2 linked regions of the Daphnia pulex genome follow. The protein of the gene in region 2 purifies or fractionates together with the protein of the main gene of each other region. This does not show direct contact. Links are inferred from orthologs where the notes say so. Each region holds a gene or a part of one and is shown on either strand. Other genes may lie near its edges.

Evidence for each region. The genes of interacting proteins can lie anywhere in the genome.
Region 1: the proteins of E3 ubiquitin-protein ligase COP1-like (region 2) and serine/threonine-protein kinase 40-like purify together in Homo sapiens (affinity purification with mass spectrometry; 3 studies listed by BioGRID and IntAct, counting the BioPlex papers as one, with this or other methods). This does not show direct contact. The link is inferred for Daphnia pulex from reciprocal best matches to the Homo sapiens genes COP1 and STK40.

What each region holds. Positions count from the first base shown.
Region 1 is NC_060027.1:4,337,847-4,343,388, forward strand, and holds serine/threonine-protein kinase 40-like, read right to left. Parts: upstream 2,902-5,542; 5' UTR 2,729-2,901; coding exon 2,668-2,728; intron 2,601-2,667; coding exon 2,422-2,600; intron 2,361-2,421; coding exon 2,226-2,360; intron 2,164-2,225; coding exon 1,933-2,163; intron 1,860-1,932; coding exon 1,676-1,859; intron 1,618-1,675; coding exon 1,488-1,617; intron 1,424-1,487; coding exon 1,264-1,423; intron 1,198-1,263; coding exon 1,090-1,197; intron 1,029-1,089; coding exon 686-1,028; intron 623-685; coding exon 417-622; 3' UTR 252-416; downstream 1-251. Other genes in the region: cuticle collagen 1-like, read left to right, coding at 1-213; PH-interacting protein-like, read left to right, coding at 3,251-3,314, 3,409-3,467, 3,564-3,593, 3,863-3,922, 4,433-4,583, 4,652-4,747, 4,817-4,977, 5,042-5,218 and 2 more. UniProt on the Homo sapiens protein: May be a negative regulator of NF-kappa-B and p53-mediated gene transcription.
Region 2 is NC_060028.1:8,376,182-8,382,533, reverse strand, and holds E3 ubiquitin-protein ligase COP1-like, read right to left. Parts: upstream 3,757-6,352; intron 3,611-3,756; 5' UTR 3,565-3,610; coding exon 1,756-3,564; 3' UTR 1,580-1,755; downstream 1-1,579. Other genes in the region: NADH dehydrogenase [ubiquinone] 1 alpha subcomplex subunit 10, mitochondrial-like, read left to right, coding at 4,621-5,248, 5,328-5,538, 5,608-5,772, 5,835-5,949, 6,014-6,088; uncharacterized protein LOC124208543, read right to left, coding at 6,248-6,352. UniProt on the Homo sapiens protein: E3 ubiquitin-protein ligase that mediates ubiquitination and subsequent proteasomal degradation of target proteins.

The DNA of each region.
Region 1 (5,542 bases), on a different chromosome or scaffold from region 2:
CCTCCTGGTCCACCTGGCAGAAACGAAGCGCAACCCGGAGGAATAGCAATTCCACACTGTCCTGACGGTTATCTATACAACACCAAAACTGGATTATGCGTCCCATCCAATCCAATTCCATCCAATCCAATCCCATCCAACCCCAACGGTTATATGAACTTTTACAAGTCTTGGTCCCTAAACAAACCTTTCAAGAATTTCTACGGCTATTAGTAATGATTATTGTGGTACAAAAGTACCAAAATAAAATGTTTACACACTAGTTTGTTTTATTGAAAATTTATAAATGATATTATAAAATACTTTCAGCTGGAATGGTCACTCCAGAAAACAAGCGTACGTTTGGCTTTGTATCAAGACTATGAAGCTTGGCGGGATTATTTAGAGCAATTAGAATCACAGCGATGTATAAGCTTTCAATCCGGCTCTTCAGATGGGTCTTCCTGTCGAGATGACGAAGAGATCGGAGAGTCGATAGCGATTCGACGAGTGCCATTGATTGAAGCTAAAGGAGCCGGAGCCGGAGCCGGAGGCTGTTGTTGCGCATGTTGTTGTTGTTGTTGCAGTTGCTGCAATCGTTGAGTAAGAAAATTGGGTGGGAAAAATGCAGGGTTCACCACTCCTTAAAATACAAAACTCAATATTAGAACAATTACTTGCAATTTATTATAATGAGATTCCTTACGTAATGATTGCGCGGATTGAGGTAAAGAGGAAGAGGACGGCGGGCTCTGGGCGACATAAGAAGAAAACGAAGCTATTCTTTGGACAGCGGTGGCGCTGGTTCCTTCATGGAATTGTTGATGGGGAGTCATCATCCGTGGAGGTAACAAGTGCCGATAACGATTCATCTGTTCGGTACTTAAAGCTCGAATGGATCCTTGTTGGCGACCGAGTGAAGAGAGGAGATTTAAATGAGCATGATGAGCACTAGAGTTTCCATGTTTTTTGACCACTTGAAATGGACTTAATCCAGGAACAGTGACTGAATGGTATGCCAGAAGACTACCTGTTGACTCCTCAATTGCCTAGAAAATCAAATATATATTGGTTTCCGTTATTAATTAGAACTGAATATTTTGTTTTTACATGAAGACGTTGCAAAACACTTTCAAATTCCGATACCCCTCGAGGAAGGTTGGCTGCTATGGTCTCTATTTCTTCGACTAGTTGATCAGAATCAATATCGGGGACAACCTACAGCCCAAAAGTAATCAAATTGATCATTAACTTAATGAAAATTTTTATGAGTTTGACACAAACCTGTAACAATGATCGTTCAGGTGATGAAGATGGAAGATTCCCTGTGGCTATAGTAGAATCTAGAGCATGGACTACTTGGTGGGCCTTTAGTCTTTGGTGAGGATTCAGATTCAATAATTTTTGAACCAGACGAGTTGTACTGTCTGAAACACGGCCATCTCTAGATTTGCATCAAGTTAGGTTTTTAAAATTATTTTAAGAATTCAGATTTTATTTCATCAAACCTTGGAATGGTAAAGTCGGCCGCTTTTATTTTTCGGAAGAGCTCCTGAGGCACCGAATCGTAGAATGGAAACTGACCATAGAGCATAGTAAACAAAACTACACCAAGAGCCCACATATCAGAAGGCTTTCCTGTATCCAAGAGTAAATTTAATAAACGTCTATCAAGAAGAAAGAAAAAGTTACATACCCAAATACGGTTTGCCGCTTAAAACGTCTGGAGAAATGTAAGCTGGAGATCCTCGCTGATCTCGTAACAGATCTTCCTCGTTGGCTAGGTGCTTTCCCAGACAGAAATTGATGAGCGTTATACGACGGTTTTGGCGATTCAACACTAAATTCCCCAGTTTCAAATCTCTGTGGACAATGTTCCTCTATAATTACATACAAACGGATTCATTTTAATAATGAAATTCTTGATAAAAATATTAAAAACACTATATCTACCTGGTGAAGGCTGTTGACAACAGATACAATTTCCCTAAATATCCAAAGGCTTTCTTGCTCAGTCAACTTTTTCTCCTTGATGACATACTGCTGGAGATTGACATAGTTGTGGGAGTGGGGACAAAAGTCATTGGGTGAGAGGCAATCAAGAACAAGATTTAGCCTCTTAACTTTCTTCCCAGTAATGACTACAGTTCCATTTCGAAGCTCTTGTTCCTCATAGGCCAAATCCTGAATTAATTTGAATGTTGTGTTAACACTTGAGGAGACTAGATTGATTGATGACATCATACTTTAAAAAACCCATGGTGATGGATGACTCCAGGTTGATCATGCAGAAGGGACAAGAGACTATATTCTGTTAACAGCAACATTTTCCCCTGTTTTTCATCCTGAGTTTCTTCATTAAGGGTTTTCATTATAAGCATCTAAAAAATAATTATTTAAAATTGTGGACATAAAATATCGCTATTGCTATTGCTAACCCACTTTGAGTGTGTAAAATTCATCGGTTTTTGATCTCCTTGCCAAACATTGTGTAATGCTGCGGACAGGAGAGTTTCCCAGTCTAGGCCCTATGACAAAAGGTCCTGCTCTTTTCACCTCTTTTTCATTATGCAATTCCCCCACGTGATAGACAGTAGTTGAAGTTTGACCTGGAAAAGACCCTACAGAGCCAAAAAATACATTAAACAAAATACTTTGGAAAAACAAGAGACCCATTCTTCGCGTTACCAGAAAAGAATTGTTTCTTTGTTGTTCCGGCTCCATCATCATCAGAAGCCGATCGTTTCATGATTGAAAATTTGTTAAATGACAATGTCTAACAGTTTATTTTTAACGTAAAAATTCTCAAACGTCAAAGAAAAGTTCTGTAACTTTCATTTCATGTTTCATCACCTCCGCTCATTCAATGAGAAAAATAAAAACAAGAATTAGGACCACCTCAGCAAGAGTTTAATACTACATTGTATCCCTCCGCCGTTGTAACCGTTTTTCTTTTCTTTTTTTTTGTAAAAAAATTATATAAATTCCTATAAAGACTCATTAGAACTATGTAGCGGAATGAGCTGTATTCAATCACGTACGTTTAAATATTTCAATTGTAATAGTCGAGTTTGAAGGATAGGGTGAATTCGTTATTCATCCGATATTGCCTTGTCATATTGAATCGCCTCTGGGTACGGGGAGAGAGTATAGCAGTAGCAGACAAGAACCCAATGGCTGTTCTGTTCTAAGGGGAACGAGACATGTCGAACTTGTGTGTGTGTGTATAAGTGTGTGTGGTTCTCTCAGTTTTCGTTTAAGTTTATGCAAAATGGACATCAAACCCTACGCAAATCAAAGTAGACAAAGTGATGGACCTTCTTCTGTGACAGCAGGTAAGATTGGAAAACATGTAGAGTGTAGAACATATTTGTAATGGCGAGTGAAACTCTCTGTTTGCCCTCCCCTTGTTTGGTCGCCTTCTCACAGAACTCTACTTCTTGATCGCCCGATTACTCAGCCATGGGCCTTGCCAAAATGCTTCTGAGGTGATATTTCATCATTATGATTGTTTGAATCGAATTGAGTTTGGCTAAACTGACTCGTCTTTTTGTCTCGTTCGTGTGATCCGCCGATGGACCTAGGCGCTGCAACGGGAGTTGGAGATGCATGGGGTGAGTGCATAGCAATACTTTGACCTTGCCTATGTTTTCACATACAGACAAGTGTAAAGGGTCCGTCCGTTCGAGTCCGCGTCGCAACGTGGACTGCACGTGCTTTTCCATCCACCAAAACATTACATACACCTGAAATGATGCCTATTTTTAGTTTTGTTTCTATTTAAATCTTATTGGTTTGTTTCTTGTCCCATTATCTGTCGCCGAACCGATCAATGATCCCGTTTTTCGACTCTAAGATTCATTTTCCATTTTATCATTTTCAGTTGTTACCGAAAAGGATCGATTGGCTCGGGAATGAACACGATCAAACTTATGCCCAAGTGGTAAGTTTTCATTCATCATTTTTAAGTTGAATTGTCAATCGCAAGTACGTGGTGGTTTCAGTTGAGTCATGGTGACGTGAAAAACAAATCTTGTCTACGGTTATTCTATGGGAAACATCAAACTAGAAAGCGAATGAGAAAGTAAGAGAGGAGGGGGGGAGGGATTCTCGAGAAATTAATTCTGAAATGCTCAGCTCGGAACGAAGATACTTTTTTGCGCCGTTACGGTTCTCTCTGTTGTCCCCCGAAAGGGGAAACATGGCGGACCCTGCGCACGAGAAAAGACTCGCGAGCACAGGAGAGAGCACACGCCCCTCGGGCTATATTCTCATGATCAAAGCTCGACTCTCATTGGTCGAGACTAAAAGCCATAGCCAAGCTATACCCGAGACACGCTAAATATATCCATAGTGTACATCTATGCGGATGTAAGCCGGAAATCGGTGAAATTTTAATCATTTTAAATTATAGGTTTTTAATGTTTTTTTTTTTCCTGATTCACTTATTTAGTGCCAAAGTTTCTCACATGTTGGTCCCAACCACTTGTTGGAATTGTGTAGGCGATTAGGTCCCTTGGTAGACAAAGAAGTGCCGACCAATGTCCAAGGTGTTCACTCATTATTGGGCGCCGGACGACAGTCAATCCTCCGTCGCAAAGAGGGTAAAGAACAAATAGTTTTTATCAAGCAATTTCAGATAATTAACGTTTTTTTAAATTATTATATTCAGATATCATCAGGAAGCTCCATCGCGAGCATTATGTTGTTCGTCAGAACAAAAGACCACGGTTGTTTCCGCATGACATCGCCCACCCACCTAATAATGGTAAAATAGATTATTATTGTTATAATTTTAAAGGATAATGACTTGATTTTATTTTATTGTATCGCAAAGTGCCCTTGTTGTTGGGTCGTGAGTTTACGGGAGCTATTGACACACAGAGTGCAACACCCGCTAAACTTTATAGCCGTGTTCAACTGTTTTGCCGCACTCTCGGCCACCTTTCAGCTGTCTATTGCGTCCTTTTTGATCGGACCGGCCAATATATTTTTACGGTGTGTTGGATATCTTCATTATTGAAGTATAAATTTTATTAAATATTAAATCAATTACTTGCAGGGAGCTGATGATTTATTGATCAAAATATGGAGTGTTGTTACGGGTCGCTTGTTAGCTACTTTACGCGGTGCCTCAGCTGAGATTGCCGATCTCGCTGTCAGTTGCGACAACACGCTACTGGCTGCCGGATCGTGTGACAAAATTGTCCGCGTGTGGTGCCTTCGCACTACTGCACCTGTAAGTGCATAAATTTATTGATCATTTTTAGCGCATTTCAATTGTAATCGTTCAATATTTTTGCAGATTGCAGTGTTGACTGGTCATGGAGGTACAATCACTTCCATCAACTTTTGTCCCGCCGATAGAGGTTCCGTCCGTTACCTGGCTTCGACTAGTTCCGACGGCTCCGTCTCCTTCTGGGAATATGTCACAGAACCGGGCCAGACACCGAAATTCTTGTAAGTTTAATTTTGGGTGGCATTAAATTGAAATTGTTCTAATCCAAGTATTTCCGTTTTCAGTCCACGACCACACAAGTTCAATGAGAAGATTCGACCAGGT
Region 2 (6,352 bases):
GTCATAAATCATTTACCTAAAGCAGATTGAAAGTGTTTCCAGAGAGGCATTCGCCATACTCTGTCACCTGTGGTGAAAGACGACTGATGAACGAGATGCCATAAGGCGTTGGAATTAGTGAAAACCCCAGCCGCAGAGCTGCCAAGAGCAACATTGATGGCACCTACCAACGAAGCAAAACCAAACAGTTTTAACATGATTAGCCGACGAAAATGTTTTGAAAATGTACCCGTCAATGTGGCAATATCCAGGACGAGATTGGGTTGGTATGTTTGTTGAGCATAAGCAAGTGCATCAGCCAGGATAAGTCGACCCTCTGCATCCGTGTTATCAATTTGGATCGTCTTGCCATTCATGGCTTTCACTACATCACCTGGTTTAATGGCCTTTCCACCCGGCATGTTCTCGGCTAGGGGAATTAATCCTAAACATCAAATAAGAATTGTAGCAGCTTGAAAAGAATTTGTCATTCGTCTAAAGACCTTTAAGGTGAAGAGGCAATCTGAGGTTTGCAGCAGTAAGAATGGTGGCCAAAGTGCAGGCAGCTCCGCCCATATCCCCACGCATTTTATCCATATTGGCTGAAGGTTTGATACTGATACCTCCGGTATCAAAAGTGATTCCTTTGCCTATCCCCATTCATCGAAAAAAAAGTTATAAGTGTCGCCTTTCTATGATCCTATATAAAAAAAAGAAATAGGATATTACCGACGATGACTATTGGCTTCTCTTTGCTTGGTAGATTGTTGTAGGTGATTTCAAGGAAAACGGGTGGCTCGCTAGATCCTTGAGCCACTGCCAAAAACGAATTCATTCCTTGGTTGGAAGCCCACGCTTCGTCATGAGCTTCAACTTTGATTGATACTCCGTCTCCTCCTGCACGACCCAATAAATCAACTGCGTGACGAGCGAATATAGTTGGTGTCATGTGATTTGCGGGCATTTCCATCAACCATCTGGCCAAGTTCTGCCCAGCTGCTTTCGTCAAACCCCTCTCCCACTGGGCCTCCCTTTAATAATAGCAAAACATAAATTAAGGCCGAAGTCGAAAAATTACGTTAAATTCTTTCTCGCTAACCCATATTCATCGCTTCCGTGCAATACCAAATCGAGTTCGGGTTTACGTTTGGCGGCATTTTTCAAATCTTGAAACTGCCAGCGGGTCAGGGAGGCACTTTCAGCAGCGCATTCGGCATCAGAACAAGGGTCGACTGAAACAATTTCAATTCCAACTTCTTGCAAGGCCTTCACACCAGCTGCAAGATACGATTCATTAAGAAAAGAAAAAAAAAAAAAGATTTTAGACAAGTATAAGGTGCCTGCAATTCCGCATCTTAGATTCTCCCTGGCTGTGTCTCTCTCCTCCAAGATATTTTCTTTTTGGAAAATGGTGGAATCATCCAAAGGATTTGGGCCCAAATTGACGACGGCTACAGCCGGAAACTCACGATCTAGTCCGTACAGCACTCGAGCTTTGCCTTTCTTCGGTACTCCACTCCTGTGGGATTGGAATTGAAAGAGGACACGGGATAGGGGAAATAAACACGGGGATAACAACGACAAAAAATGAAAAATATAGTCAAAGGAAATTCACAACTGTATTTGCAGGATAAAATTTAAATGAAGATTAGGCACAACAGGGGAATCACGTTTTGGCAGAACACAGCATTCAAGTCATTGGGGAATGACAACCCAGAACCAAATAGAAAATTCGCAAAATGGATGATGATGGGAATTGACAATAAAATTACCACCCTAAACCAGTTCGAGAATTTTTATAGTTCCCTGGCTGTTGGCAGCGACGATTACGTTGGAGTCGGGTTTCCAACAAACGGCAGAAACAAACTCGGCGCTCTCTTCTTGCTCGGCCCGCTCCTTGTCCAATAGCAAAGCGCTTTTAACAACGTCGAAACGATAATGAAGTAAAGGCTGGCTGAGTCCCTTCGAGTAGAGGTAAAGGGCATTATTTTCCGAACCGCAAGCAATCAAATCACGTCGATCGTCTTGGCTGCCGTCCGTCGTCGAAAGGCCCACAAAGTTCTTCTCGTTTGTGTGTCCGCGAAAAGATCGACATGAAACGTTGTCTTCAACCGTCCACAATTTCAATTGGCTATCCGTGCTGGCCGACACTAATTCGCGATCACTAAGAAACTTGACGTAAGAGACGGCTTTGCGATGGCCTTTAAAGACCCGTAGTGGCTCCTTGGGCTGACGTAGGTCGACGTAATGGACGCAATGATCGGCTGCGCCATAGGCTAAGCAATAACGCGAGTACGGATTGAATTTGACGCAACAGACATTGGCTTTAGCTTCCAAAGTGGCCACAGAGTGTTCAGCGTTTAAGCTCCAGATTTTGACTCGGGAATCGTCGCTGCCACTGGCCATCAAGTGACTGTCCATGCGATTAAAATCGACACTCCAACAGCGTTTCTCGTGCTCTTGAAAGACCCTCAGACGAGTACCGACGGACGCATCCCAAACGGATACGCTGCCTTCGTAGTCGGAGCTTGCCAGAACCGATTTGTGGTAGGCACTCCAAGATATGCACGATATCTTCGAGCCCGCCACCATCTCCATAACAGGATAGTGAAGATCAACCGCATCCCGTACAACCACTGCGTAGTCGTACACTTTGATGCGTTTGGTCACACCAGCGATGGCGAAAAAATCAGCATCTCGGTCGAATTCGATCGAGCTGACAATGTGTGCCGTGTTGAGGAGTTCGCTTCCGTAGCTCAAATTAGCCAAAGGCCTTAGTCTACTCCATCGCGTTAACTGGTTCAAATTAGATTGAAAGTCGAGTAAACTTTTCTTTTCTTCTTCCTCACCACCGAGACGATTGTTCCGAAGTGCCCAGTATTTCCCCTCTAAATCTTCGAAATGTTGGTGCATTCTTACACGACGTTGACTGATGCTTAACGGTGTGGACGCGATGGATGAATTGAAGGCCGTCTCGTTGACTTCACAATTTTCCACTTTAATTGCAGCAGAATCGATGCCAGGATTTAGGGTTTGCGCCATATTTAAATCCTTGTCAAGCACCTCTAGTTCTTGTTGAACATTTCTCAACTCGTTGTTCTTCTTGGTTTTGAGCTGTTGGAGGAATTCGTTAAGTAGCTGGGCTTCGGTCAGTTTTCGTTCTCCATCAAGATCACATTGTTTCCGAAGCAAAACTTCTTGCATGCGAACTAATTCTGATGGATGCCAATCCCGAGTATCCAACAGAGTAGTAAAGTCTTTCATCAAAATATTTCCATCTTGACTCTCGACTAATTTCTTCTTCTGTTTGGTTATTAATGCGTTGAGGGTTACGTTGGGGAAAACGGATGGGTTTCGGCCACTACTGTCGAGGGGACCGCTGCACTTGGGACATTTGCTCGCTAACTCCAGACTTCTGACAATACATCCATGGCAAAAGCTGTGCCCACATGTAGTCACGTAAGGTTCCGACATCATATCCAAGCAGACCGGGCAGAGAAGATCACTATCTCTGTCTTCATACGTGTCCTTTACACCCCCAAACAGAAGAGACTGGGGACCCCTCTTAACCCCACGGCCTGCCATCTTCAGGCTTTGAATTTTCGTATGTCACATTTACAGATGATCTGACCTGAAACACATCACAAACAAGTCAGAATTTTCTGTTTGTTTCTATCATTATAAAGAATTTCAGGTCAGATTAGCTGCTGAATGCACAACATATGTCTGACATCAAACCTAATTTTGATTGAATCAAGACTTATTGGATGGGCTTACCAGTTCAACGCATCGTTTAAGCGATTGGCCACTTGATCATTGAAACTTTTAGCCGCCTGAGTCCAAATGAAATCTTTTGTAGAGTCGACGTCGGTTTCGGTCTTCTTGGAAGAATAGCCTCCCAAAATCAGGCCTTTACCTTTCTAAGATTGTACAAGATTTACGTGTTATTGATATGCAAAATTCGATAGCGAAACTTCAGTATTATTCACCTTAAGATTTGTGGCCTGAGTAGAGAATGCTGGGAAAGCGACCTTGGAAAAACGATTACAGTACAATAGCCGACAAGAGTTGACACGGAACACTTGCGTTATGGATGCCGCCATATTGGAATATCAAACTAAACTCACTCAGTTGCCAAGTTATGACAGCAAATCAAAAATGTATAGATTATTAGATTTTTAAAATTTACACATTTCTTTATTTTATTTTAATTTTATTCTAGCCAATCGGACAAATATTGATTATATTTTTATTCATTGTTAAGATTGTTCTTTCTGCAAGGCAACGTTGGCGGTCCAGAAGGAAAGGTAAAGAAAATTTTACATGGCCGTCTGGTAAAAGAAAAACACTATTTTCATTATTATGTTATGGTTGCTTAATATAATTTAAAAACTAACTGTTTCGGTACAAATTGAGTATTTAATAGCATTTTCGTAACTTTGAGGTAGTTTCAAACTGTCCATGCCTACTTTCGTTTTCGTTGCTTCCAACTCATTATTAAATTAGAGTTAAATTTGTTTGTATTTAATGTGCTGTAGTAGAAATGTGGAGTGCAATTTGTTAAATATTAAATGTTTTTGATTGTTTGCAGGGTTTAACCAGATTGGTAAAGAATAACTTGCTTCTTTAAAACGATACAAGATGGTCTTCTTCAGCAGAGTGTCTTCTCCAAAGCTATGCGGAAGTGTTGTCATCATAGCAAGGAAACAACAACAATGTGTGATTACAGTAGGACAGCGTTCTATCTCTGGAAAAGTAATGCGCCAAGGATTGCCCCCTGTTAAAAAGCCAGCTCCATTCCCATACAAGGAAAAGAGATACAACTTTTTACGAGCTTTGTTTGATCCCACCACCAGCCGATTAGATGAGAATTCAAAGTTGATTGTTGTTGAAGGGCCACCTGCTGCTGGGAAAAGGGCTCTAGCCAAAGAGTTGGCTGAAGAATTGGATATGGCATACTTTCCATCGCCAAATGTAGCAGATTGCTACATTAATAAATATGGTTATGATCTAAGACAAGTAGATCACAAACTGCCAGAATCTTGTAAGAGTTATGATGAGAACGATTTCTTGAAAGACCCTATGCGGGGAAATGGTTCCAAAGCTGCGCGTTTCCAACTAACAAAGCTTTCCCTCCGTTATAAACTTCATTTGGAGGCTTTGGCTCACATTCTGAATACAGGACAAGGAGTCGTCATGGATCGTTCTCCGTTCAGTGACCTTGCTTACATGACTGCCATGACGGAAACTGGTGTAATCAGCAAAAATGGTACGATTTTCAACTCTGTATCCTATTATTTGTTATGGAAGAGAACAGCTAAAAATATTAAATTAACATTTCCATATAGTTTACAACTTCTACCACCAAGTGAGAAACAATGCACTGTTTGCACTGTGGCGACCTCATTTGGTCATCTATCTGGACGTTCCTGTTGATGAAACACGTCGACGAATTGAGGCCAGGAACTTACCCAACGAAAAGGACTCGATGCTTACCACTCCTGCTTACCTCCAAGCCCTAGTAGATTCTTACAAGAAAGACTATTTGAAGGATATCAGGTATTTCTCTATTATAAGCCCAGAAGAGTTTTCGTATTTTAACAAATCGTTTATTGATATATGAAATAGTACCCATGCCGAAGTTCTAGTTTACGATTGGTCGAAAGTGGCAGATCCCGAAATCGTCGTTGAGGACATTGAACGCATAGATTTCGATCAGTACACCGTCTATGATGAAAAGATGAAGGACTGGAGGCGCATCAACGAGTGGGATTGGAACAACAGTCGTCAAGAGTAAATTTTCTCAACTTGAAGCATTACGCTCCCTTCTTACAATACCATTTTACCTTTCTCAGGTTTACCCACTCTCAACATTACTTGATGGCTCATCTAAACGTGCCACCGATCCATTGCAACGAAATCGTTATCGGCGCAGGTGATAACAAAGTGCGCGCGGCTGTAATGGATGAGGTAAATGAATCATTACTTGTTACACTACTTTGTGCAAAAATATAACTATGGTAATTCTTTTTAGACTCCGGGCTGCAAGTTCGCCAAAGGATTTAATCCAGAAATGGGAGACAAGGGAATTTTATTCAAATTGTCTTAAATATAGACCTTGTGACTCTACTTGTGTAGGAATCACTTTTTGTCGATAGTTGAAATATATAAATGATGGAATTAAATTTGATTTTATTGTGCACGAGCTACACTTGTATCAAACGGGGTTGAAATTTTCTTTGTTTTCGAAGATAAAAGGGACAATAGATTAGTCGTTTTTGTTGCAATACCGCTGTTGATGCTGAAGGATTTCGGTTCGCACAACATGCCTTTGTTTGTGTTGCAATTGAAGACGAGGGGAAGCCAACGAAGG